Linked DNA regions of Rattus norvegicus. The protein of the gene in region 5 interacts with the protein of the main gene of each other region in a pairwise test. Links are inferred from orthologs where the notes say so. Each region holds a gene or a part of one and is shown on either strand. Other genes may lie near its edges. The genes, in order: Plekhf2, Smarcd1, Fxr2, Atf4, Ldoc1, Hdac4 and Fam107a.

Region 1 (2,932 bases), on a different chromosome or scaffold from region 5:
ATAAGAAAAACTGCCTTGCTTTCGGCTTCTTTCTGCACAGCTTAGTCAATACTCCTTCTCCAATAAGCACCCGCCCAGGGATGGTCAAGGGCTGACCGGCTGCCCCGAAACAGCTCTCCACAATACTTATGCGTCTGGTGTTTGCTTCACTGTTCGCCAGGCGATCCACCATCTTTTGCTAATAACCTTTAGGGGAAAAAGAAAAGAAATCAGCACACGCAAAGTATACATTCCTATAAGGGATTAACAAAATGTCATCTACCAAGGCACTGATTTTTCCAAAGGCAAGTAATCTTGTTTTCTTTCCTTCTAAAATAATCACTAACATGCTAAACTGTGCGTAAAACCTGCTGAGTCTTCCCGGGCAGCCCCGGTAGGCCTAGAACACAGTCCTCCTGCCTCTACTTCAAGTGAGATCACAGTGTGGGTCATTTATACCCTGCACAAGTAAAACAACGGGACAATCAAAAACAAGTTAATTCCACAAGATAACCTGGCTCCATGAAACTGAACCTCAGCGGGATTCTGGAGAACAGAATCCAAAGAACACTTAAAACCCACAACTCCAGCTTTCCCAAGAAGCCGCCCATAACTCCGGAGCCTCGGCCCTAATGTCCTCACCTGGATTCCCCCAATGCTCTCCCAACTGCTGCCAGCCTCACCTCCTGAGTCAATGTGTAGGCAGCCATCTCTAAAATGCTTGGTTGTTCCTGCTGTCACTTGAAGTGATTCCCTGGATCTTTAAAATCTGTAACCGTTAGCATCATGTGTAAGGTTGGCTTTTGGTTTTAACTGTTTTGTTTTTGAGATTGGCTCTTATACTATTCAGCCCAAGCTGGTCCTGACTTGCCATGCCCTACCTCAGACTCCTGAGTACCAGAACAATAGGCATTTGTCACCGCATCCAGCTATTACTGGACTTCTCTTCACCTCAACCTAAGTCATTCCTTGCCTAAAACACAGCATTTGAAGCAAACATTACTCTGTGTAAGTGGATTTCACTGTTTTCCTTACAACTTATAACTCCAGCTACCTCTTAATCACCCTTCAAATCGTAGTTAGCATCTCTCCTCTAACACACCTAATGGCAACAAAAAACCATCCTCCATGTTTGTCCCACTTCTTTACCAAAGGACTGAAATCCATGCCCACCACTGGCTGCAGTGAAGCCTAAAAGAGATCATCTAATTGCCATCTTTAACATGATCTTGGGAACGAATTCCAGACTCTAAAGGACTAGGAAGAAAAACCGTCCTATTCTGACAAGAACCTCATTTACACTGTCCATGCATGTCTTAAACACACTCAGTGGGATAGGATACGCTTCCCATCTGTTAAAATGTGATACTGGGGGAAGAAGCAGACCTAGACGACAAAGGATCCTCCTATCTATTTACAATGGAGAGCAGACCCACCTGTCAAGACCATTGTTCTTCCTGCAGACAATGAGAACGTCTAATCTCATCCTCACAGACTCATGTCTGACCTTCCTTCCTTCCTTCCTAGACAGGTTTCACTGTGCAGACCTGGCTGGTGTGGAGCTCGGAGACCTCTGCCTGAAGTTAAAGACATGTGGACTATGCCTGGCAGAATTTACTTTATTTTTTACTCATACTTACGGCTTCTGACATTACTAAAGACCAATATTCAAATCCGATGGGCTACAGAAGGGGAAAAAAACCCCAATAAACTATGAGCCAAAAGGTCTGGTTTACAAAAGAAGCAGCAGCAGCAGCAGCAGCAGCAGCCATCTCAGTCAAGGTACTTTCTGTCTTTAAACACTGACCCTACATAAACAGTGGGCCGGCTGGATTCCCATTTACACCAAGTTCTACCACTAAGTCAGAGCCTGCAAACTACTGCGTCAACCCCACAGCTGACTACTGCGTCTCCGGATCAATACTTTAAAGTGAGCTCCTGTGAACTGAGTGTTAGAGAAAACAGGGGACAAGGCTGTGAACCCTGGGAAGTGACCTCGGAAACAAACAGTGCAGCCTGCACCGAGCTCAGCGGTGGAGCCCTGCTTCAGTCTCCAGCACCTGCTGGAACAAACCACACAGCAAGGCAGAACACTGCCTAGAATGCAGCCAGCCCCACGACTCCCTCAGTCCATGCAGCCAAAAAGACGCTCTAAACGCCTGCCTTCTTTTCACAACCACACAGTCTAATAACCAGCACAGCAGATTACTGAAGAAAGGTCTAAGTAAAGGACTGGGATACTAAAACAAAGAAGTACTCGATACTTGAGCAAACTAAATTTGGTGAATTTGCTTTTCCAATCAACAGGAAGAGTCTAGGCTTCCCTGGCCTGTCACTAAGAGTTCTCCCTGGTAGAAAATCACTGCTAACATGCACTGTAAAGGGATAGGCTGACTGCAGGTAAGAAAACGGAACAAAAGTCTGTATTTATGTTCAAACTTATCAGTGCTATATTTTACTAGCTGAGAGAAAATGAAACTTCAAGATTTGAATCATATTATAGAGAAACAACATTAACTTAAAAATCTCTCCTAGGATCCAGATCTTCCTATTACTATAAAGGTGAGTTATTTCACAACCTCAATCATGAAAGGGGAAAAAACCCACACACGACCAATGCCTACTAGACATATTCCCTTTACTCTTTCATGTAATAATGTTGGGTAAATGAAGATGGGGAGTGGGAGTGCACGCCTTTAATCCCAGCGCCCAGGAGGCAGAGGCAGGTGAATCTCTCTGAGTTTGACGCCAACAAGGTCTACAGAGTGAATTCCAGGACAGCCAGCCTGTCTCGAAAACCAATGATAATAATGATGGTGTTAGGTGAAAATAATTCATTCTGCCAAATCAATAAGTAAATATAAATCAAGTCATAAAATGGCTGTTTAAAAAAAGGCATGTAGAGTAATATACATTTAGTATCCTTCCTAACTCATTCAGGAAGCTGAGTGAG
Region 2 (3,500 bases), on a different chromosome or scaffold from region 5:
CCTCCCCCTCCCCATCTCTTTTCTAGTCAGCCTTGTCCAAATATGATGCCACCAAGCAAAAGAGAAAGTTCTCTTCCTTTTTTAAGTCCTTGGTGATCGAACTGGACAAAGACCTCTATGGGCCAGACAACCATCTGGTAGAAGTGAGTAGTTCTGCCTTCCAGGCCTTAACTTTTTTGGGGGATGATGGGTTTGGGGACCAAGCTTGAACAGATTAGCCCAGGTATGGGGTTCCGCCGTTGCAGTTTGCACATTGACCTCCAGGCGGCGCTAGCCGTACTGAGTTGGGACCCAGGAGCTCTTGCTATCTGACTTGACCACTTGTTTCTGTCCTGACTACTGCCCCCCAGAGAAAATTCTGGTAGAGTCCTCTTACACTCTCGGCTGTCTCTGCATCTTGCTTACAAGTGTTGGTGGGCTGTAGTTGCTGACATGCTTTATTTTCCTGATCGTCGCTGCTGTAGTTAATGGGTTGACTGATGGAGTACTAGTGATACTAGAGCCTAGGTTATCGATCTGTATCTTCCTTTTGGTCCCTGATCCTTTAGATTTATGTCTCAGATAACCAGAAATACTAAACAGCTCCTGGGTGTGCAGTGTTTCGATGACTGTGTTAGCTGTGAGCAGCAGTGTTTTGGGGACGTGAACCCAGAGCGGTCTAGTGTACGTGTGAACTTAACCTGCCCTTTCTTTACCACTGTAGCTGCAGCCCCTTAACTCCAACCACTAAGAGACATGGGAAGTAAGTCAGAGTCAGTAGAAATCTGTAAAGCGCTTGACTTGATAGCAGTAGAATAGCTAAGACTGGACTAGAGTCAGCTCAAGCACTGGCTCTGTTACATAGCGAATGTAACATGTCATAGACATGGATGTAACATGTCATAGACATGGGTAGCTGGCCCTCAGTAAACTGACACTGTCTTAGGTTCCTGTTCCATGTATAATATTCATTTTGTGGGTAAATTTATTACTGGAAATTCAAGCCATTTTAAATGCAGTCATCTCAAACAGGGTTGGAAAGTTCTGCTTTTGTAGACAATAATTCCAAAGCCATCTATGTTTTTTAGAGATGCCTGGAGCTATTGCTCTTCCCCAGTAGCCACAGTAATGGAAGTTGAATGTTCAGTTATTACAGACGCTCTTCCCTCCCACCCCAGCTCTTCCTCTGGAAGAGTACCCCCTGACACCTTCCTCTCTGTAGTGGCACAGGACCGCCACTACCCAGGAGACAGACGGCTTCCAGGTGAAGCGACCAGGAGATGTGAATGTACGGTGCACTGTCCTGCTGATGCTGGATTACCAGGTACTCTTGGGAGGTGTGGAGAGTCCAGCTTTCCTGGCCGCAGTGTATGAGTGTCTGACTACTCAGGAATGCTCTTCCACTAGAGCGACAGCAGCATGTGTCTTCGTCCTCTGTAACCCTGCCGTCCAGATTTACTAATGTCCGTTAGATTGAGTCCGTTGCTGTACTAAATACCCCGAAAGACACATGGATCCATCTCATTAGCTTCATCTACACTCTTGGTTCTCTGCAGCCCCCCCAGTTTAAATTAGACCCTCGCCTGGCTCGCCTCTTGGGCATCCACACCCAGACACGTCCAGTGATCATCCAGGCACTGTGGCAATATATTAAAACACATAAGCTCCAGGACCCTCACGAGCGAGAGTTTGTTATCTGTGACAAGTACCTCCAGCAGGTATGTAAGGCACATTCTATTTCGAGAGTCTAATTGCACTGAAAGTGCCGATTTGTAATGCCTCTCTCTCTCTCTCTCTCTCTCTCTCTCTCTCTCTCTCTCTCTCTCTCTCTCTCTCAGATCTTTGAATCTCAGCGGATGAAGTTCTCAGAGATCCCTCAGCGGCTGCATGCCCTGCTCATGCCACCAGAACCCATCATCATTAATCACGTCATCAGGTGAGTGTGCTGGACCCTGCCCTCGGGAGCCTGCTCGTCCCGTTATCAGATGTCCAGAGGTCTCCTTAGATGCACTTGCTCTATTTCTGTTTAGATTACGTAAGCTCATTACTGTGAAAACCGATAATGGCACCAACCTCTGCTTGCCTGTTACCTGCTCACCTTTGCAGAGTTTATGCCTGAAGGTTACTGGTGTTTGGGGTGGTTGCACACTCTTCTCTGGCTAAAGCTAGAGTGTTAGTGGCTGGACATCAGCCAGCACTGTCACAGCAGGGCTCCACTTCCCGCGGGAGATGCAGATTGTCACTGTGGTGGGAGTCAGCAGTCATCTTTTTATGAAAGGAGGGGCTTCCAGTCAGACTCCCACTCTTGCTTTGTTTTCTCATAATTTGGAAGATAAAGAGCCCTGCGCCTGTCAGACGCCTGCTCTTTGCCCTCTTTGTTCCAGTTACTCCGGAAAGACTGAGTTTCCCTAGTCCCTGAGCCCCTCACCTGTAGTCCCTCTATAGCTTGTACATCGCGTCCACAGAAACTGGAGTCCTGTTCTTTTTGTTGCTGTTTTTTTTTTTCCGACAAGAGTCTGTGTAATCCTGGCTGTCCTGAAACTCACTCTGTGGACCAGGCTCCCCTCAAACTCATAGAGGTCCACCTGCGTCTGCCTCCTGTGTGCTGGGATTAAAGTCCATTGCACGGACTCCTGTCTTTAAAAGTTTTCACAAAATGCCTTTGGTGCTATTTGAACTTTATGACTTTCTTAAAACCAAGCTCAGCCCAACAAGATGGTTCAGCTGGTTAAAGGCACTAGCTGCCTAGCCTGACAACCTGACATCAGCCCTGGGAAACACACACACACACACACACACACACACACAGAGAATGAATATATGGGAATGTACTGAAAACCAAATTTATTGAGTTACAAGTTGTTACTCATAGAGGCAGGCTGGACCGTAGGTTAAATCTGTTTGAAGTAAGGCAGTAAGGCATCTGGAGATACAACTCCATACAGCTCTCCGAAGGAAGACGTTGAGCATCTCTGCTGTGCACTTTGACCTTTTGCAGTCGCTTCCTTTTCCTCTCATCCCTGGACCATCTTCTGACGTTGGTACGTAGGTCTCAGAAAAAGCCATTTACTGAACTCTGCTACTTTCCTCCCCAGTGTTGACCCAAATGACCAGAAAAAGACAGCGTGCTACGACATTGATGTGGAAGTGGATGACACTTTGAAGACCCAGATGAACTCTTTCCTGCTGTCCACTGCCAGCCAGCAGGAGATCGCTACTCTAGACAACAAGGTCGGGGTCTCTGTCCCACCGTCCATCATAGCTCCCAGCTGCCTTTTGCTTTTCGTTTTTAACTAAAAAATATGTTGATACCCAGAACTTGTCAGGCTGTCGGTAACGTTTAGTGATAAGTGGAGGCAGGTTACATACATGCATTTAGATTCTGCCTATTACATTTTGTTTTTGTTTTTAGCATTTTGAGTGCATCTGTCCCTTGTAGAGTAGGCTGGCCTCAAATGCATGATGATTCTTCTACGTCATGTTCAACAGTGCTGGGGTTATAGACACGAGCCATGGCGGCT
Region 3 (3,500 bases), on a different chromosome or scaffold from region 5:
AAGGGAGTGGGTGACCTTGGGACAAGATCCCACCCCAGCTAAGTTTAGGTTCAGGCATGGTGGTACACGCCTTTAATCCCAGGAGATCTGAGTTCAAGATCAATCTACAGAGCAAGTTCCTGGGCTGGAGAGATGGCTCAGTGGTTAAGAGCACTGACTACTCTTCCAGAGGTCCTGAATTCAAATCCCTGCAACCACATGGTGGCTCACAACCATCTGTAATGGGATCAGATGCCCTCTACTGGTGTGTCTGAAGACAGCTACAGTGTACTTATATATATAATAAATAAATCTTAAAAAAAAAAAAAAAAAAAAGAAGTTAGAAAACCAAAAGCTGGTGATGGTGATGATGTAACAGAACAAGGGGGCCATGTTTCAGCCCCAGCAAGCAGCAGAACTTTGGCAACTTCAGTCATATGTATCTGGCTTTGTAGTCAAGAGGAAACTACTGGGAAATTGATGCTGGTTAGCTAGAACTAAGAAATTAGAGGTGACTAAGAAGAGACCAGCACTAGGCCGGAGAGATGGCTCAATGGTTAAGAGCATTAGTGGGCTGGGGATTTAGCTCAGTGGTAGAGCGCTTACCTTGGAAGCGCAAGGCCCTGGGTTCGGTCCCCAGCTCCAAAAAAAAAAAAAAAAAAAAAAGAGCATTAGCTATTCTTCCAGAGGTCCTGAGTTCAATTCCCAGCAGCCACATGGTGGCTCACAACCATCTGTAATGGGATCTGATGCCCTCTTCTGGCGTGTCTGAAGACAGCTACAGTGTACTTGAAAGAAAGAGAAAGAAAGAAGCAAGCAAGCTACCTAGCTACAGTGTACTTTGAATGAATGAGTGAGTGAGTGAGTGAATGAATGGATAGATAGAGATAGATAGATAGATAGATAGATAGATAGATAGATAGATAGGAAGGAGACCAGCATCACTGAGGTGAAATCTTCTGGGGAGTGTTTTCTGAGAGCACAAAGAAGCTATATTCTAGAGATAGCCAAGGTTGTACCTCAAAGCTGTACTTGGTAATGGATGGGGCGTTAGAGAGCCAGAGCCATGGGCTATCTGCTGAGGAAAGCTGCTAACAGGGAATGGAACCAGCCCAGGAGAAAGAAGTTTGTTGCAGTCAACAAAGATGAAAAGGAGTTGGAGATCTGAAGACCACATTGAGATCAGACATGGAGATGCAGGGTTTGGAGTTTGCCTGGCTCATTTCCAGTCTTTCTTTGGGGATTAAGGTTAAGTGAGTGGATAAATCTCAGAAGAGACCTTGAACTTTGGACTTTTAACACTGTTGAGACTGCTATAGACTATGGGGACTTTGGAAGTTGGACTAAATGTATTTTTTTTTTCGGAGGTGGGGACTGAACTCAGGGCCTTGCGCTTGCTAGGCAAGCGCTCTACCACTGAGCTAAATCCCCAACCCCCTAAATGTATCTTTTATTATGCTATGTGTAGGTATGACCCCCAAAGACTCATGTGTTTGAACAAGCCTATGGGGCCAGGGAGTGGAAATGTGACAGTTTGTATATGCTCTGGCAGGGAGTGGCCACCCTATTAGGAGTGTAGCCTTGGGGTTGGGGATTTAGCGTGGTAGAGCACTTGCTTAGCAAGCACAAGGCCCTGGGTTTGGTCCCCAGCTCTAGGGAAAAAAAAAAATTTTTTAGAAGTGTAGTCTTGGGGCTGGGGATTTAGCTCAGTGGTAGAGCGCTTACCTAGGAAGCGCAAGGCCCTGGGTTCGGTCCCCAGCTCCGAAAAAAAGAACCAAAAAAAAAAAGAAGTGTAGTCTTGCTTGGAGTGGGGTATGTCGTGGGCTTCTTCCTAGCTGCCTGAAAGCCAGTCTTCCCTCCACTAGCAGCCTTCAGATGAAGATGAACTCTCAGCTCCCCCTGCACCATGTCTGCCTGGACACTGCCATGTTCCAGCCTTGATGATAATGGACTGAACCTCTAAACCTGGAAGCCAGCCCCAGTTAAATTTTGTCCTTGTATGAGTTGTTTTGGTCATGGTGTCTGTTCTCAGCAGTAAAACACTAAGAATTCTAGGCCAGGAGACCAGTGAGACCCTGTTACAAAGCAACATTGCTGGGCAGTGGTAGTACATGCCATTAATCTCAGCACTCCAGGGTCAGAGACATGTGGATTTCTTTTGAGTTCTAGGACAGTCAGGGCTATACAGAGAATCTCTCAAAAACAAAAACCTACAACAGAAACAAAATCAAACTTTTTAAAACCATACCAAAACCATGATAGAATACTGTCCTCTGAAAATTATGAGATAAAATAGGATTAATGGCCTAGCAGCTTTTGTGTATGTGTTTCAAAAACAAAAGGAAAAGAAAAAGGAAAGAACATTTTATTATTATTATTATGAGAAACAGCAGCCAAAACTTACCTCTAGGTGCTTAGTAGCTTCTTCATTGCGGGACATGAGCAGCAATTTGGTACGAAGGCTTCGGAAATGCATGTCACCCAGCAAAGATGCCCTCTTCACAGGGGCTTCTGTGGTTGACTGAGGAATGATGAACAGGATGTATAAAAGCAAAATACATGGCTCAGAGACGGAACCCTAAGACAAGTGGCTTAGAGGTTAAGAGAACTGACTGCTTTGGCAGAGGAGCTAGGTGCAATTCTAAGCACCTACATGGCAGTTCACTTGTCTGTAACTTCAATTCCAAGAGATCGGACACCCTCACGCAGACACACATCTAGGCAAACCAGCAACACACATAAAATAAAAAAAAAAAAAAAAAAAAAGCAAAATACACACCAGGGAAGCATTAGGGACTTGGCATCAGAATGTCAGAGTCCCTGAAAAAGGGCAGGTGTCAAGAAATGAAGTTGGATTTTTGTTTGTTTTTCAAGACAGGGTTTTCCCTGTGTAGCCGTGGCTGTCCTGGAACTCTCTGTAGACCAGGCTGGCCTTGAACTCACAGAGATCCGCCTGCCTCTGCCTGCTTCCTGAGTGTTGGGATTAAAGGCGTACACCATCACCACCTGGCAAGAAATGAAGTTTAAAATAAGGTGGTAGCATGGGCTGAAGGGATGGCTCAGTGGTTAAGAGCACTGACTGCTCTTCCAGAGGTCCTGAGTTCAACCTATGACATCTGGTGACCTCTTCTGACCTACAGAAAATGATGTATATATTCTTAAAAGGAAAAATAGAAAAAAGGGGAAAAAAAGGTGGTCATGCCTACCTCAAAACTAGGGAAGGTAAAGCAGGAAAAGTGTCACAAACTCAAGGGCAGCTTTAGTGAGTAACAGGCCAGCCAAGAGTAAACAAGAAGAGTAAACTTGTCTCAAAGGAAACATAAGGGGTTGGGGATTTAGCTCAGTGGTAGAGCGCTTGCCTAGCAAGCACAAGGCCTTGGGTTCGGTCCCCAGCTCCGAAAAAAAAGAAAAGGGAAAAAAGAAGAAGAAGAAGAAAAAAAAAAGGAAACATAAAAGAAATGAGGTAGGCTACGTGAAAACCATTGTTAGTCACATAGAAACTGAATAGCTAAATACTGACA
Region 4 (3,833 bases), on a different chromosome or scaffold from region 5:
AATCAAGGATGACCTTGAACCATGGTGCCCGAGTGCTAGGATTGTGTGTACTGGAGTACTTGGCTTGCAAATAATTACTGAGCAGTAAGGGGCGGGCACTGTGCCAATTGAGTGGTATTTGTATGAGTCACTTAAAAAGACGTGGAAACTCAAAAGATTGCAGGCTGGAGTTGGGAAGAGGGCCTCTCAGCACTTCCAAAACAGCATCCTTTATGGTGAGTTGTCCTTGACCAGTACTTGGGGCTTCCAACCACTTAAGCAGCTGCTCACTCACCAGGATGACTTCTTGGTAAGGCTATACCAGGAAGTTAAGACTTGGGAGTTAATCAGAACTACTCTAGGGCTTGAGATCCAACTGAATAAAACACAATATTAAGGGAACTGACCCTATACAAACCAGCAGTGATGGGCATATTTTAGAGTAGGTTAGATCTAAGGTTAGGTATATTTTCCCAGTACAGGATTCAGAGGAAAGATGCAGGGCTGGAGGAACCGGAGTATCTCCCAATAAGGCCCCAACATGAACGCCCTGTCTCAAAGTGCGGTCCCTGGACTGACAGGATTGGACCAGGTAACTCCAGAGGACCTTTCTATATGCCTAAAGCTCTGCCCATTTGGTTCTGAGAACAACAAATACAGGGAAAGAGGGCTTTCAGCCCAAGTGTCACTCCTGGAAAGCTGTTTGCTCCGTGCTGGACCAAAGCTGCCCGGGAGCGATGCCGGAGAGAGCAACTACATTGGGGTGACCTCTGATGAGTCGGTAGCTGTAAGAGTCTGGTACCCGGAACCTCTGGTGGCTCTTCCCGATATTAGTGCTCCTAGGGCGCCCAGGTTCAGAGCCAATAGAAACTTAAGGTTTAGATGACTCGTCACGCCTGGGCCAATCAGCTCGACGCGCGCTCCTACGGCGTCTCGCGTGATAACCAGGCAGCTTTGGCTTTGACCGTCATAGCTTTGGTTAGGTGTCTCTCCACGCCCTGTAAGACACCGGAAGTTCCGTAACGAGCGATCCCTCCGCACTCCGGAACGTGACTTCAGTTGGTCGCAAACCTATAAAGTAGTGCACTTTTCTTCCTTCATGGGGCCTTCAGGATACTCTGTAACGCCCCAGTTACTCCCCGAGCACAGCGGAGAAGGGTTTGGACGGGCCAGAGCGTCAATGGGATAGGGTTAGGTGGAGCGGCGGCGGGATCACGTGACCACGGTGGGAGGATACGGGGTGTACTGCGTCCCTCACCGATTCTATAAAAGGCGGGTTTAGGGCGTGTCGCCGCCATTTCTGCTTGCTCTGTGGTAGATGTCTCTCTGTACGCTGTTCCTTTCCTCTTCCCCTCCCGCAGGGCTTGCGGCCACCATGGCGTATTAGAGGCAGCAGAGCCTGCGGCAGCGTTGGCCTTTGCAGCGGCGGCAGCAGCACCAGGCTCTGCAGCGGCAACCCCCACCGGCTTAAGCCATGGCGTGAGTATTGGGCCGACTGCGCGGGCGTGTGCTTTGCTGTGTTTGGGTGCGGCCTGGGCGCGTTGACCAGCATACGCGGCTTTACAAGCGGCCAGACGCGTCGGCCTTGTTTGGGTGGCCCCGCAACGCCGGCGCACACGGGGAGGGTTGGGCAGGCGGCGTGGAGGGAGTAGTGCCTAAAACCCTGCTACTTCCTCTTCGTCCTCTCTTAACTTAGTCGTCTCGCGCCCCCCCGGGTTCCCGGTGTCATTCTGCGAACGTGGCGAGGCCAAGATGGCGGTGGGGCGGGGGGGGGGTGTGAGTCACGGGGGCGGGGCGCGACGGCCTTGGCCGTATTAGGACTTGAGGACAAGCTGCTTCCTCCGGGTGGCCGGTGAAGCAAAGCTAAGCCTCCATCTTGTGCAACCCGAGCTGGCGGCTGGGGAAGCTTACACAATGGCCTTGAGCCCACGTGCTCTCCATTTAGAAGCTTTTGGGATTTTGTCATCCAGCATCCTAGATAGAAAGATGATTGAACTTGCTTTTGGATCCTTATGCAGGCTCTTCACGAAACCCAGCAGCAGCGTTGCTGTAACGGACAAAGATACCTTCGAGTTAAGCACATTCCTCGATACCAGCAAATCCCTACAACATGACCGAGATGAGCTTCCTGAACAGCGAAGTGTTGGCGGGGGACTTAATGTCCCCCTTCGACCAGTCGGGTTTGGGGGCTGAAGAAAGCCTAGGTCTCTTAGATGACTATCTGGAGGTGGCCAAGCACTTCAAACCTCATGGGTTCTCCAGCGACAAGGCGGGCTCCTCAGAATGGCTGGCTATGGATGGGTTGGTCAGTGCCTCAGACACCGGCAAGGGTGAGTAGGGAGGACACCTGCACCAGTGTGCTCTTTTCATGTGGGTTTGGTGTTCTAAAGGTTTTCTGCCTCTAGTATGAACCGTTCTCTCCTGAAATTTTTTTCCCCAGAGGATGCCTTTTCCGGGACAGATTGGATGTTGGAGAAAATGGACCTGAAAGAGTTTGACTTCGATGCTCTGTTTCGAATGGATGACCTGGAAACCATGCCAGATGAGCTTTTGGCCACGTTGGATGACACATGTGATCTTTTTGCCCCTCTAGTCCAAGAGACTAATAAGGAGCCCCCTCAGACAGTGAACCCAATTGGCCATCTCCCAGAAAGTGTAATAAAAGTCGACCAGGCTGCCCCCTTTACATTCTTGCAGCCTCTTCCCTGTTCCCCAGGGTTTCTGTCTTCCACTCCAGATCATTCCTTTAGTTTAGAGCTGGGAAGTGAGGTTGATATCTCTGAAGGAGATAGGAAGCCTGACTCTGCTGCTTATATTACTCTAACCCCTCAGTGTGTAAAGGAGGAAGACACTCCCTCTGATAGTGACAGTGGCATCTGTATGAGCCCTGAGTCCTACCTGGGCTCTCCCCAACACAGCCCTTCCACCTCCAGGGCCCCACCAGACAGTCTGCCTTCTCCAGGTGTTCCTCGTGGTTCTCGACCCAAACCTTATGACCCACCTGGAGTTAGTGTGACAGCTAAAGTGAAGACTGAAAAGTTGGATAAGAAGCTGAAAAAGATGGAGCAAAACAAGACAGCAGCTACTAGGTACCGCCAGAAGAAGAGGGCTGAGCAGGAAGCCCTCACTGGCGAGTGTAAAGAGCTAGAAAAGAAGAACGAGGCTCTGAAAGAGAAGGCAGATTCTCTCGCCAAAGAGATTCAGTATCTAAAAGACCTGATAGAAGAGGTCCGTAAGGCAAGGGGGAAGAAGAGAGTTCCTTAATAGGGTAGTCAGGTGCTTTGTGCTTGTACATAGTCTTGTGATGCTGTGTTTGCTGTAATAAATTATTTTGTAGTGAAAGTAGCCATGGAAGTTTTCTGTGTCATTCTTTCTAATAGACTGCACAAGGTCTGGGTTGAATACGATAGCTACCTGGATGAGTTGAGCTGTTCAGGTAGTGAGACAGGTAAAGACTAGCTGGAGGGAGGGGGCTCTGGGTTAGTGAGGGCCAGCCCAGAATTGCACCTGTTCATACTGGCCTTGTGCCAGATACCTGCTGTGTAAGTACCTAGATAAGGTACAGTCCTTGAACACAAAGAGGATTAGGTTTCTCTTAGGCTTAAGGGATACAGCTACTATTTCCTGTGACAGGTGGCAAGCCCCACTCCAACCCTTCAGTTTGTTACTACAGATCCTCCCAAGGCGAGGTAAAAAGCCTACCATCACCCTCAACATTATTCCATTTGGCCCAGGGGCAGCTTAATCCAGCACAAGGATATGGTGGGGGGAGGAAGGGCCTGAGTGACAGCGGGGCAGAAACTGGTGGAGGCCCTTGGAGACAATGACTAACCTTCACTTGGCAGATGTTCTTT
Region 5 (3,500 bases):
GGTATCCCAGCCAAAATACTGCTTCATCTCATTAACAAAGGCCCGATAATCACCAAGGATGTAGCTATTGGACTCGATGTAAGGCATCACCCACTCCTCGGCTTCCCCGGACAGGAGGCTGATCAAGAATGCCACTTTCATGGCGTCGTTGCAGAAGTGCTCCTCATTCACAAGCATGTAAGACATGGTCTGCACAACAAACTCGGGGAGCCGGCCGCTCTCGCCACTAAACCGTGAGGGATAGGGCACTGGACAGCTTGGCAGACGTACCTGGCGCAGCAGCCTGGCCCGCTCACACACCAGTATTCGCAGCTGCTTCAGGAGCTGGTTGTTCTGGATGCACAGGGCGCGGTGCCTCACCAGAAGAGCATACAGAAGTATCAGCAGCTGCTCCACCATGGTTAACCGCTTGGAAGGTCTTGGGCTCGGCTCGGATCGGGTCCGCGGAGTTGCACAGAGAGACAGAGCAGGAAGTGCGTGTCCTCAGAGTAGCGCTGACCCTGGGCAATAAATAGAGGGGTCCCAGCAAGTGGCAGAAGTTCCACCCACAAGGTCACTTTAGGAACCAGCGCGCTAGCGCAGTGCGGGGAGGAAGGTGTGGCTGGGAGGGGTGCGGGATGGCGTGGGGGCGTGGCCAGGGTGGGACTGGTGGCCAGAGTGGATGAGGCGGAGGAGAAGGGCGTGACCCAGGGAGCATCGCTGCGGGCTCCCGCCAGTTCTTCCACCTGGAAGAAGGGAGGGGAGGAGCAAAGCTTAAGACAGTGGAGGACAGATGCTCAGCCCTCAGGGCTGGCCTGCTCCAACTGAAACTTTTCTCCAGTAAGCCTGATCTGATGCTTCTTAACACATTTCCTTGCCCATTTAAATCTCACTCGGAGAAATAAAGTTGACTCTGAGGGCCACAGTGCAGGAGGCCATCTGGGTTCTGAGTTTAAAAGTCTTTCATTAAATAAATAAATAATACTCAACAAAGTGACTTCTCTTTGAGAAACAATTTCGATAAGACGATTTGGAAATTATATACAGGGTGTCTACTTGTAAACATCCTATCTTTGATTCTTTTCACGTCCTGTTTATCAGTGCACTTGTTCCTGAGTAGTTAACTAACATGAGCACTTTAAAAATAATTCTGTTCACCTATTTTGAGCGTGACTAGTTGTAGATGACTAAGCGTCTTTCTGGATCCTTGAGTTGATACATATTGGGCTTGCTTTTAAAGCCATGTCTCCGAATTCAATCAGTTCTGGTTCTATCCGCTACCCTGATCCCAGCCTGCTTTGCTCAGTTGGCTACATCTAATCCTTTAGCTGCCAGCCTTCCTCTTTTGCAGCATGTACTCTCTTCAGTAAGTAGCCCAGAACACTTTACAAGGTGAGTATACCCTTTCACTCCCCTGTTCAAGGCCCTCCAGTAGTTATTCCCTCTCTGCCTCCCCCAGTAAAAAGCAAACTCTTGGTCATAACTTACAAGGTCCTGCTTCTCCTTACTGTCTTCACATGGCCTCCTGTTAGGTTCTTCAACTATCTCATCTATATGTGAATTGTCTTCTCTATCAACAATTTATAGCTCCCATCACATTTCAATTATCTATATAGTATCCATCATATTCAATGTCAACATTATCGTCTGCCTCCACTTTCAAATGTAAGACAGTACAGCAGAGGGGCTTGGCTTTGCCAGCTTCTCTGACCTTAGTGCCTGCAAAACATACCTAGCCCAGAGGAGGAGCTTCCCTAATTGTGAGTCCTTGTCTTCTTCTGTGCTATGAATGCTCTCACAAGAAAAGAAGCTCTTTTAAGTGGGATAGGAGCACTGGGGAGAAGAGAGAGTACAGGTGAGAATACGCAAAGAAGCTTACTAGAAACCAATTATTTGTAAGCTAAATAATAAAATATAATGCATAAAATGGAATTATGGATAGATAGTGCTACTCCTTGAAAACATGGGTTATTAAATGAAAATTTCAGTGCCAGGCATGGGATACCTCCTTAACAGTTATTGGTCAGGGAGGACCCAGAGGCCCATAAAACAATACATGTTACTGCAACTGCTCTTGGTTGTGCATCATAACTAGATGGTAAAAGCCATTAGCTGAAGACACCACATAGCTTAGGTACAAGGCATACAGAAAACAACCTCAAAACAATCCCACTGCTGGCTATCTGTCTTTCAACAAAATTAGAACATTTTGGAGGCCAAGACTACCTTTGTCCTGCTTCTGCAAAAACAGGATGAAGTAAAGCAGATAAGACAAACACCAGTAATCTCTCTGGGGAGCCCTTTGATCCTGGAAAGCAGGAAATGGTCTGTTAAAAAATACCAAGAGCTAAGCAGTGATTTTTGTAAAGCAGCATTTCCAAGGTTTGAGTTAGAAAAGACAGGCAGATGAGGATGTCAAACAGAGAGCAGTGGTGAAGCAAATTCAAACTCAGTACCAGTGGACAACATATATAGAATTCAGTGGTTAGTTAACCATCATTTGGTTGACATATGGCTCACACACCTTTGTTAAGATCCATCAGACTTCCTGCTACCATTTACCCTGTTCAAGAGTACGTGTAGATTTCCTCATTCCCTTTCTCCCCATTAACTGGCCTTGACTGTTCCTTTAGATCTGTGTAAAGGTGTCAAAGACAAAGAAAGGTAGTCCCTGTGACTCTTCTCAGGCTCATAAACTTTATTATGGTGGTTTAAATTACAGGCCTAAGGGCTGGTGATGTGTAGTTTCTTGCTATGTCCTCTTTCCTATGCTCCAACTTCTGTCTCAGTATATACCTAGCAGCCAGACTGTCAAATTTCTTTAAATAAACATAAAAAGATATGTCTTGGTCTCTTGGTTACCAGAGAGGTATAAATAGCACACTGGCATTAAGATATGCCTCTCACAGTAAAAAGTAGCTTTGGAGAACATTTTATGAAATTCCATGTACTTTTTTGACACAAGCATGTGCTCATACTTCGTTGGGGATGCAGTGTATGCAGAGTTCAGAGAACAACTTGCAGAAGTTCATGTGTAAGACAAAGATCATGGCCACTCTACAGATCCAAAGCTATGTCACCATCTTACTAAGCATACCCAAGGACTGCTTTATCTAGGAGGTAAATCTGGAAGACTTAAGAACCTCTAGATGACACTGCCCCATCTGGGGTATCCATCCCATATACAGACACCAGACCTAGACAATATTACAGATGCCAAGAAGAAGCATGCTGACGGGAGCCTGATATAGCTGTCTACTGAGAGGCTCAGCCAGAGCCTGACAAATACAGAGATGGTTGCTAGCAGCCAACCATTGAACTGAGAACAGGGTCAGCAATGGAGGAGTTAGAGAAAAGACTGAAGGAGCTGAAGGTGTTTGCAACCCCACAAGAAGAGCAACAATATCAACCAATCAGAAACCCCCAGAGCTCCCAGAAACTAAACCACCTTCCCAAGAGTACACAGGGATGGATTTATGGCTCCATCAACATATGTAGTGGATGCCTTGTTGGGTATCAAT
Region 6 (4,251 bases), on a different chromosome or scaffold from region 5:
ACCTCGAAGGTCAGTGTCACACTTAATGCCCAGAGGTGGATGAACAGCAGGACACAAGATGGTCACTGGAGATCAAAACAAAGCCATTCCCAAAAATCTCCTTGGGACCCCTCCCCAAGGCTGGGTTTCAACCAATGGGACATGAGCTCAACTCTGGATTCAGCCTGCTCAGTCACCCCAGGGCCCAGAGACATCAAAAACCCTGGTCTTGGGCCTGAGCCCCACCCCCAATCTCCCTGTGCAGCAGGTGTCTCTCATTTCTGCATCTCCCTGGTTCCCCACGTCAGGTATTAATGTATTACTTATGGTAGCTTCAGAGTTCTGAAAAACCAGCCGTTTTCAATAGAAAATGGCATGGACGAGGCTCGACAGGAGTGATGAAATTTTCTTCTGCTCTGGCAATTAGGACGGCACAAAGTCTCCTTTCCTTTGGTGCCACCCCCAACATCAAAGGATTGGAATTCAAAGCCATTCATGCTGCATTGAAACCTCACAATGAGGCTGGAAAATGGAAGTCGATTACTGGGCAAAAATATGCAGTAGTTAAAAGGAAAGGGTTATAACGAAATTAAGCTGCAGCAGCCCCACGATGTGTGGAAACTTCCAGCACCAGAGCTCTTCTGGTAAACATCAAGAGGGGCATCATCCTAACACAGCTTCGAAACCAAAGTCAAGCTAGGTGCCAGGAGCCCCGTGAAGAGTGCCATGTTCTCTTGCCACCTCGCACAGCAGCAGCCCCTGACTTCTGCAAAGGTGCCACCTGGGGGCTTTATATGCTGCCCAGCTCCCTGACGCTGCTAACCACAGAATGTTCTTGCTAGGGCTGCTTTGGTCACATCTGTCCTTGGTCCCTAGGCTTTCCAGGCCTCTCTGCAGTCCACAGTCATTCTCTCCCCCTCAGGGCTCTCAGATACCCGGTAAGCAGCCGGCAGACCCCTAAAGGGGGCAGTGTTACCTCGGCCTTCTAGCAAACCCAGCCTCTTCTGGGTGATTACTGCTCTTCAGGAAGGCATTTGATCTTTAAAAGAAAAGCCAGAACACAGAAAGCCATAGAAGTCTTACAGTGTGTCGGGTGTGTGTTTTTAAAGCATGAAAATACTTCCCTCCCACACAAACGGGGAGTTCTTCTGGGGAAAGATGCCACAGATCCCGAGGAGTGGCAGATCTGGGAAAGCGAATGGGTCTTAAAAATAGACAATTGAACCTAGACTAGAGCTGCAGAAGCTACCTGGGGAAAAATGAGAATTTTTAACTAAATCTCGCATATTTTTTTGATATCCAAAACTCCATTCTGATGAAACTTCTAACTGGGTGGCATTTTGCATTTCCAATTATAATGGAGTAATTGTGTTGCCATAGAGACTGCAAAATTCTGCAATAACTTTTGCTGCCTTGTAACTGCTATAGTGTATATTTGTGTAGAAGCAGCTGAGTTTTCTTAATTCAACCTCCTTGCCTCTCACAAGCGTTCTACCACCACCACCACCACCACCACCACCACCACCACCACCACCACCACCACCACCACCACCACCACCACCTTCTTTCTGGATGGATTTTGAAACCACCACACTAGCTTTCATCAAGCCGGTCCTGAAATAATGCACGGAATTATCAGAAGCAATTAAAACTCCTGGCAACCTCGATCATATCACGGAGGAAAAACCGAAACCAGGTCAAGGTGCAAGCCGCCAGCATCCCCCTAGCCCCAAAGTGCGACAGGGCCATGGCTGTTTACACGTTAATACTCCGCAGGCCTTAAATGCTTAGGTGGTTTGTGGGAACAGGCAGAAACGCCTGAGCAGAGAAAAGCAGGGAGGCAAAGTGACTACACAGGCCTTTCCTTCCTCCCCGAGCAGGCAGAGTGGCTCTCGGAAAGCAATTAGGTAGGTCTCTACAGTAATGCAATTAGGATTTAGTTAAGAAAGTCATTAGTTCTAAAATAACTTAAGTTTAATTTCTGCGACGCTTTATTTGAAAATCGTGTCACAGCAGGTCAATTTACAGCATGCAATAACCAAAACACTGCTATCAGCGGCTGCAAGTTATTAACAAATTCTCCGTGTGCATTAAAGGAGAACACGGGTTCCACACCCGGCCTTTCCGACCGACTCCGGCGGTGTGGGCTACAGCCGTGCCTTCGGAACGCTCGCTCAGGGTGGACACCGGGTCGTCTCCCGGGCTAGCGCAGCTTCTCGCCAGCCCAACGACCGTCCGGGCCCAGCCGCGGCCCCCGCCCCGCCGCCCGCCGCCGCCGAGGGGCGTTTTCTGCAAACTCACAGGCTGACAAAGTTACATAAACGCCCCGGCCCCCGCCCCCGCGCGCCCACCTGCCCGCCCGCCGGCGCAGGCCGCTCTCCCGCCCGCCAGCCCGCGGCGCAGGGCCCCGAGGCCTCGGCGGGGCCGGGCGTCCACCTGCCGCCAGCAACCGGGCGGCGCGGACAATGACGGCCGGTGGCTTACCGCGGCGGCGGCGGGCCGCGTCTAGCCCTGCTCGGGCGCTCCGAGCCGCATCTCCTCAGCCTGCGCCGCCGCCGGCGGGCGGGCGGGCTCGGGCGGCGACGGCGACAGCAGTCGCGTTGAGCGGGCCGGGCGTGAGGCGGCGCGGCGACGGCGGCGGCGCGAGCAGGCGCGCGGGCTCGGGCTCGGGCGGCGGCGGGGATGGTGCTCCGCGGCAGCGGCCCCACAACCTCCCCTCCTCATTCACAAAAAATTGACCCACGTTGAACCATGATGCTGCTCCCCCTCGAGCGCAGAGCCGCGCGGGGATAGGCCGCGCCCTACGCCCGTCAGGCGCTCCAACCCCGCCCCTCCCGCCGTCGGCCCACCAGCCATTGGCTGCAACGGCTTTGCGTCACCTCCCCCCGTGGGCCCCGCCCCCTGCCTGGTTTCTAATGAAGAAAGCGTCAATTACGGCTCGGCCCCGCCTCCAAGAATTCAGTTGCTCTTCCATTGGTCCGAGAGTCCTAAGTCCGCCCTACAATAGCCCAACAGCCACCCCCGCTTCGCGGGCGCTGCAAAGGGGCTCCGCCTTCGATCGGCCTCTCTCAAAAGTTACAAACCCCATTGGCTCCCGGCCTTGTCAATACTAGTGAGCGGGGCGTACCGAGGACTCTCCAGGCGCTAGCTCTGAGAGCTTCGCTGTGGAGAAAGAGCAGGGAGCTGGTGCACGTACTGACTGATGCTGTTGACAGACCTCCTCGGCAGCCCGCGGCGCTGCCCGGGTCAATATAGTGTGCCTGAGTTCATGTCTCATGCTCTAAGGGGGCGCGCAAGAGCGCAGACTGTGACGGGGGCCCGGTCAGGCCTGGCTGCAACCTCCATCTTGGGCAAGGCACAGGTCACGTGGGCTGCGTGCGGGGGACGCCGAGCCCAGAGGGAGTGCGCAGGCGCGGCGGGCCCCGCCCTGCCCCGGGGCAGGCGCGCCGCTTGGGGGTGCGGCTGTGACTATGGGCCCTTGCGTGGCCGTGGGAACTGGGAATTCAGGGACCGTTGCTGTGGCGGAGGTGTAGGCTTTGGGTCGCCGCCACCGCGTCCCGGTTTGCTGAGACCCACCCCTTCTTTGCTGGGGTTCTTCTAGACCTGGGTCAAGCACCTATAAGTGGCGTACCCGGGTGTGGATGGGCATGAAAGATCATGCTTCTGACGCCCCTGGGTCCATTACCTTTCATCAGGAGAGTAGTGCAATTTCTCATCCTGTGTGCATGGTATTTCCAGAATCTCACATCTAGAACGAAGGAGAGAGCATCTGGTCCACCCTACATGGTCTGACTGTCCTAGGATGCTGGCCTGTCTACTAGGCCTTGACTTGTAGGAATTGAATAGAGACCGAATAGTATTTTTTGATCCGTGACTGGGGGATAATTGAAGGTATGTGGATGAAAACAATTCGCAAAATGCAATAGATTCTTTTCATTATCTCAGGGTAATAGTGAACTAGAGAGCTTCGTTCATTGGGAGAAATTCAGACGCTAGGATAGCTCAGCTGCGAAGCCAAGGGATGAATTGTGGAATCAAAAAGAGTAGAAGAAAATGACCGCACTTAGGAGTGCCAGTGCAGCTGCTTATAGAAAAGTACACTACCAAATTTACATACAAAATAATGCAGGATCTGCAGCCTGCTAACATTTAGATGAAACATGAAGTTCAGAAGTACTTGAAAGGATAAAGATGTGCAATAATCAGAGATTTGATGAATACTGAGTAAATACGAAGTAAGTACTGATGAATACGAACCTGAACAAAAGTTAC
Region 7 (4,271 bases), on a different chromosome or scaffold from region 5:
CTGCAGCGTCCTGTCCTCAGACGGTGCTTCCCTACCCTGGAGCAGTGTCCCGCAGCTTCCCACAGTCTAACACCCACCTGACGGGTCAAACTTCCCGAATCCTGCCTCCCAGAGCAGCCTGAGCCCTGTGACAGAGCAGAAGGACAGAAGTAGGCCCCCTACTCAATCCTACAGAGAATCATGGTGACTGAGGAGGTTCTGTTGGGCACAGAGCTCTGGGACCAGAAGGTTTTGGCTAAATGAGTGGTCTGTATGTCTCTAAGAGGGTCGAAGGGTCACAGGGATAAGAATACAGAAGAGAGACCGGGGCCTCTCATTCTTCACAGGTTCTGTTGGTAACCCAAAAGGTCCCAGGGTTCCTTCCTAAAGACTGAGTCTGGTTCTGGGTGTGCACAGACTGGTGGGAACAGTAGCTTCGATAGCAATCCCTGGTCTTTCCTGGGCAGTGAGGAGAGAGCCGGAGGAGAATGATACTCTTGCTACAGGGTGAAGTTTACACTGAGAACAGCTGCAGGAACCTGGTTACTGCACAAGATCCTTTCATCCCCCTCCCCTTTTTAGGAGGGTTTCACATATCCCCAGTTGGCCTCAAACTTGTTACATAGCCAAGGGTGACCTTGAACTCTTGATTGGCCTGCTTCCACCTCCCAAGGGCTAACACTATAGGCATAGCCACCATGTCCCATTTATGGGGTATCATCGATCCATCTCAGGGCTTTGTGCATGCTGGGTAAGTTCTTGACCAACTGGGCTGAATCCTTATGGTCTTCTTGTCACTTTCTGACTGCATTCCCTCTATCTTCAATGTTCTTATTGTGTTTCTGGTCTATCAGTTACAACACATGACACTGGGTCCACAAAGTGTTCAGGGATTAAAGCAAAAGAAACAATGTAACACATGATCTTAGCTTGTGTGGCCTCAAGCAAACAGCTCCTGCGCTCTCAGCCTCTGACCAGTGGAGATCATGGCCACCTCCCGTCCCCTCAGGTCATTAGAATGTGAGACCTTGTGGTGTGCACACTGTAGTTTGTAGACTACCTGGCTGAGTAGGCAGACTGTGAACCTCTTTCTTGTCCTGCATGTTTTGGAGTGAGCACGGGACTTGGTCTGACTCTCATGATTATCTTGAAGGCAACTCATTTTGTAGTTGAAGAAATCAGGGCTTATCAAGCTAAGGTACACGCCAAGTACTTAGCAAAGCCAGGATTGTTGGACTCCAAACCTAGTACTCTTTCTACCATAGAACTGTCTCCTAGGAATGGCATGTTTTTGACTCAACAGAACCAATTTACAGCCCTTTGCTCTCTCTCTCTCTGTATACTCAATAAACCCCTGTGAAGAGGAAGGCTGAGAACATGATGGCCAGAGAACCAGACAGTGAGAAACGCAAGCACTGCCCTGCTGCTTGAAGCAGCTTTTTCCTGTCAGGCCTGTGGCCAGGTTTCAACCCCCAGTTCCTCTAAACCTTTCTGGTTCAGCATCAGCAGGGGGGCTTTGAGAAGCACTGGCAAGAGAAGGAGAAACATTCAGAAAAATGACAAGCTGGCTGCCACATGTCCTGCTTGCTCTCTCCTCCCTGTGGGTGGTATGCATTTGTAGCTCAATGGCTGGCCAGTAACCTAAGAACGCATTTGGCAACAGCTCTAGGTCTCCCTGCAGACTCAGGTCAATCTTCTTCGTCTTGGAGCCACCTATCCATTTAGGCAAGAAGGCTCCAGACTACTTCAGGTCTTGGTCCCCTGGATCCGTTTCACCAGAGAAAAGAAAGGTTGGATTTGAAGGGTGAGGCCTATAGGGTCCATAGCAAGGCTGGGGATTGTGCCCTGCTGTTGAGCAGGAAGCAGCGTGAGTGGATGTCCCATACTGCTATCCTTGTGATCTGATGACAGCTGTTGCACCTGGCAGCTGGCTCAGGGAAAAATCACAGCAGGGGTTGCCAGACTTCACAGTGAGGAAGCCATCAGGACCCAAGCACCCAGAAACCCATGTGTGTGGGAGGACTGTTTCAAATTTAGAGCCCATCCCACTAATAGCAGCTTCCTAGTGACAGGCAATCCCCTGATCCCTGGATCCCTGATTTCTCTAGTCCCAGACTGGCCGTGTACCACGTGATGAAGCCAAGTCCATCGGCAAGGCGGGAATCACCCATAGCCTGCATTCTCAGTACAGGCTGAGTAATGAGCTATTCGTCTAGTTTCCGACTCAAAACTCTCAATAAACTGAGAAGGTGGGCAACCCCTTCTTAGGAACAGACCTCAGAGACGTCGTCTGATTTCTCCAGATCACATAGCCAGTGTGTGAGGTAGCCAGAATCCGAGCTGAGCTTTGGTACCCAAATCCAAGTTCTGTGCTTTTCTCATTGCATATAGAACCTGGACTATCTGCCGATTGTGTCTATCTGTCCTCTATTAAGTGAACCCTCCTTGCTGACCCTACATACCCCTACTGTGTGATGATGGATTTAAGAGAGGCTGTAGCAGATGTTAAATTCCTCTCAGTGTTTAGAAGTAAAAGGTCAACCAGACTGCCGGGTTGTAACTGAGAGCCTACTTAACCCTCTATCTCCCACCCCCACTTCACATCCCTGCCTCTTCTCACCTCAGTAAGGCAGGGTCCCAGTACCTACATTTTGAAGGGCTTAGTTGCTGGGACAGCTTGCTCCGATGCTCTTAGGTCATCTCCTTCCCACCACCTTCTCCTAGAACACACTCAGCCTAACAGATGTGAAGCAGAATAGATCAGAGTCTTACTTCTCTACAGGTCCGGGGCTGTGAGCTCCTTGGCAGTGTCTGGGCTGCGAGGTCCTCTGCAGGTTTCAGACTTAGGGAGTGCTAAGCCAGTCCCAGATGGCTGAGGCAGCCACCCCCAAAGGGCGGGCCTTAAACCCCCAAGATGGGAGGCAGTTTTGCATTCCCATTTATTCTGATAGCAATGAAAAAGAACTGTTGCTATAGAAACCGTTATTTTACTTGGTGAGTGGCCGTGTCCGAGACTCAGAACACCATGTCCAAGCCACCCTGATTGAGAGGCACCAATAAATACCCGTGTTGTCAGATTGATGAGGAATATGACTCACACCAAGCTTTGTTCTGAACAAGGCGGCTCCTGGCTTCTGAGGAGGAATTTCCCTTGTTTGTATGGGAGGGAATTCCAGCACTTCCCCAAAGGAGGGGAGGGGAACCACGCTTCCTGCTGCAGTGAGGGATTCTTTAGAACTTGGCTCTTGGATACTAGCAGGGAGAGAACTATACCCAGACAGTTCTTGGCAGCCCTGCAGGCTTAGGTGTAAGAAACATTGTGAAGTGAAGTGGTCATCTACAAATGTGTTGGGCACATGGACAGCCAGAGCATTTGGGAGGCAGAAGGAGGTAGATCTCTGTGTTCAAGGCCAGCATGGTCTACAGAGAGAGAGAGTTCCAGGATAGCCAGGACTACACAGAGAAACCCTATCTCAAACAAACAAACAAACAAACAAACAAACAAACTTCACACAATTAATTTCCACAGAAGAACCAGCAGGATGTAGTCCAGGAAAAGGGCAGCGGATAGATTTGTACCTAGCCCACTCTGATCCTAGTCCCTTCTGTACTTTGGCTTTCCTGTGTGTGTTGGCTGCGCGTGACCTCAATGAGATGGTGTTCATTAAAGCAGCCTTCAGAGAACTGTCATGTGCTAAAGGCAGAGCCCCAATGTGCATGCCTGTGCCTGGCCACAATGAGAGTGTGCGCAAAGAGAAGCTGTGGGCTTGGGCAGAACCCCAAAGCCAATCTAGGTGCTTGTAGATCAAAGGCCTTCTCTGCACCTCTGAACTAGCTACTGCTCGAGCCTTGGGCCATTCTGTCGTTTGGCATTATTCTCTGTCCCCCAACTGAGGAAACCAGCCTCTGCCAGTGAGACTAGGCCTGTACCCCAGTTTACTTTCTCATGGAACTTTGGTCGGTCAAGAGCGATGAGGTTCAGGTCACACACATCACAGGTAGGCAGACATATTCCACACGCAGTTTGAGTTCATTTTGGCCCTAGGATCTGTTCATGTAGTCAATATCTAATATGTATGTGTATATTTCCTGGCATGTTCTAAGTGGGCGTATGATGGGAAAGCAACAGAGAGAGACAGTACCCCTGTTCTCAGGGGATCCACATTCAGTGTGTGTGTGTGTGTGTGTGTGTGTGTGTGTGTGTGTGTGTGTGTGTGTGTGTGTGTGGTGTGCATGTGTGTGTAGTGTGTGTGTGTGACAGTAGATAAAAAGACATACAAGAAAATGTCAAC

What was found.
Region 1: the proteins of Ldoc1 (region 5) and Plekhf2 interact in binary tests that used the Homo sapiens proteins (3 or more experiments, as listed by UniProt). The two-hybrid records come from large-scale screens. The link is inferred for Rattus norvegicus from reciprocal best matches to the Homo sapiens genes LDOC1 and PLEKHF2.
Region 2: the proteins of Ldoc1 (region 5) and Smarcd1 interact in binary tests that used the Homo sapiens proteins (3 or more experiments, as listed by UniProt). The two-hybrid records come from large-scale screens. The link is inferred for Rattus norvegicus from reciprocal best matches to the Homo sapiens genes LDOC1 and SMARCD1.
Region 3: the proteins of Ldoc1 (region 5) and Fxr2 interact in binary tests that used the Homo sapiens proteins (3 or more experiments, as listed by UniProt). The two-hybrid records come from large-scale screens. The link is inferred for Rattus norvegicus from reciprocal best matches to the Homo sapiens genes LDOC1 and FXR2.
Region 4: the proteins of Ldoc1 (region 5) and Atf4 interact in binary tests that used the Homo sapiens proteins (3 or more experiments, as listed by UniProt). The link is inferred for Rattus norvegicus from reciprocal best matches to the Homo sapiens genes LDOC1 and ATF4.
Region 6: the proteins of Ldoc1 (region 5) and Hdac4 interact in binary tests that used the Homo sapiens proteins (3 or more experiments, as listed by UniProt). The two-hybrid records come from large-scale screens. The link is inferred for Rattus norvegicus from reciprocal best matches to the Homo sapiens genes LDOC1 and HDAC4.
Region 7: the proteins of Ldoc1 (region 5) and Fam107a interact in a two-hybrid assay, tested with the Homo sapiens proteins (2 studies listed by BioGRID and IntAct). The two-hybrid records come from large-scale screens. The link is inferred for Rattus norvegicus from reciprocal best matches to the Homo sapiens genes LDOC1 and FAM107A.

What each region holds. Positions count from the first base shown.
Region 1 is NC_086023.1:28,890,792-28,893,723, forward strand, and holds part of Plekhf2 (pleckstrin homology domain-containing family F member 2), read right to left. Parts: intron 187-2,932; 5' UTR 173-186; coding exon 1-172. UniProt on the Homo sapiens protein: May play a role in early endosome fusion upstream of RAB5, hence regulating receptor trafficking and fluid-phase transport. Enhances cellular sensitivity to TNF-induced apoptosis.
Region 2 is NC_086025.1:132,711,627-132,715,126, forward strand, and holds part of Smarcd1 (SWI/SNF-related matrix-associated actin-dependent regulator of chromatin subfamily D member 1), read left to right. Parts: intron 1-26; coding exon 27-143; intron 144-1,201; coding exon 1,202-1,303; intron 1,304-1,535; coding exon 1,536-1,697; intron 1,698-1,817; coding exon 1,818-1,915; intron 1,916-3,074; coding exon 3,075-3,210; intron 3,211-3,500. UniProt on the Homo sapiens protein: Involved in transcriptional activation and repression of select genes by chromatin remodeling (alteration of DNA-nucleosome topology).
Region 3 is NC_086028.1:54,859,669-54,863,168, reverse strand, and holds part of Fxr2 (RNA-binding protein FXR2), read right to left. Parts: intron 2,501-3,500; coding exon 2,384-2,500; intron 1-2,383. UniProt on the Homo sapiens protein: mRNA-binding protein that acts as a regulator of mRNAs translation and/or stability, and which is required for adult hippocampal neurogenesis. Specifically binds to AU-rich elements (AREs) in the 3'-UTR of target mRNAs.
Region 4 is NC_086025.1:113,683,407-113,687,239, forward strand, and holds Atf4 (cyclic AMP-dependent transcription factor ATF-4), read left to right. Parts: upstream 1-1,274; 5' UTR 1,275-1,458; intron 1,459-1,997; 5' UTR 1,998-2,089; coding exon 2,090-2,309; intron 2,310-2,384; coding exon of another isoform or gene 2,385-2,419; coding exon 2,420-3,243; 3' UTR 3,244-3,333; downstream 3,334-3,833. UniProt on the Homo sapiens protein: Transcription factor that binds the cAMP response element (CRE) (consensus: 5'-GTGACGT[AC][AG]-3') and displays two biological functions, as regulator of metabolic and redox processes under normal cellular conditions, and as master transcription factor during integrated stress response (ISR).
Region 5 is NC_086039.1:145,106,267-145,109,766, reverse strand, and holds part of Ldoc1 (protein LDOC1 precursor), read right to left. Parts: intron 1,813-3,500; exon of another isoform or gene 1,712-1,812; intron 501-1,711; 5' UTR 400-500; coding exon 1-399. UniProt on the Homo sapiens protein: May have an important role in the development and/or progression of some cancers.
Region 6 is NC_086027.1:100,194,838-100,199,088, forward strand, and holds the start of Hdac4 (histone deacetylase 4), read right to left. Parts: upstream 2,801-4,251; 5' UTR 2,723-2,800; exon of another isoform or gene 2,464-2,722; intron 1-2,463. UniProt on the Homo sapiens protein: Responsible for the deacetylation of lysine residues on the N-terminal part of the core histones (H2A, H2B, H3 and H4).
Region 7 is NC_086033.1:19,045,110-19,049,380, reverse strand, and holds the start of Fam107a (actin-associated protein FAM107A), read right to left. Parts: upstream 2,801-4,271; 5' UTR 2,752-2,800; exon of another isoform or gene 2,600-2,751; intron 1-2,599. UniProt on the Homo sapiens protein: Stress-inducible actin-binding protein that plays a role in synaptic and cognitive functions by modulating actin filamentous (F-actin) dynamics. Mediates polymerization of globular actin to F-actin. Also binds to, stabilizes and bundles F-actin.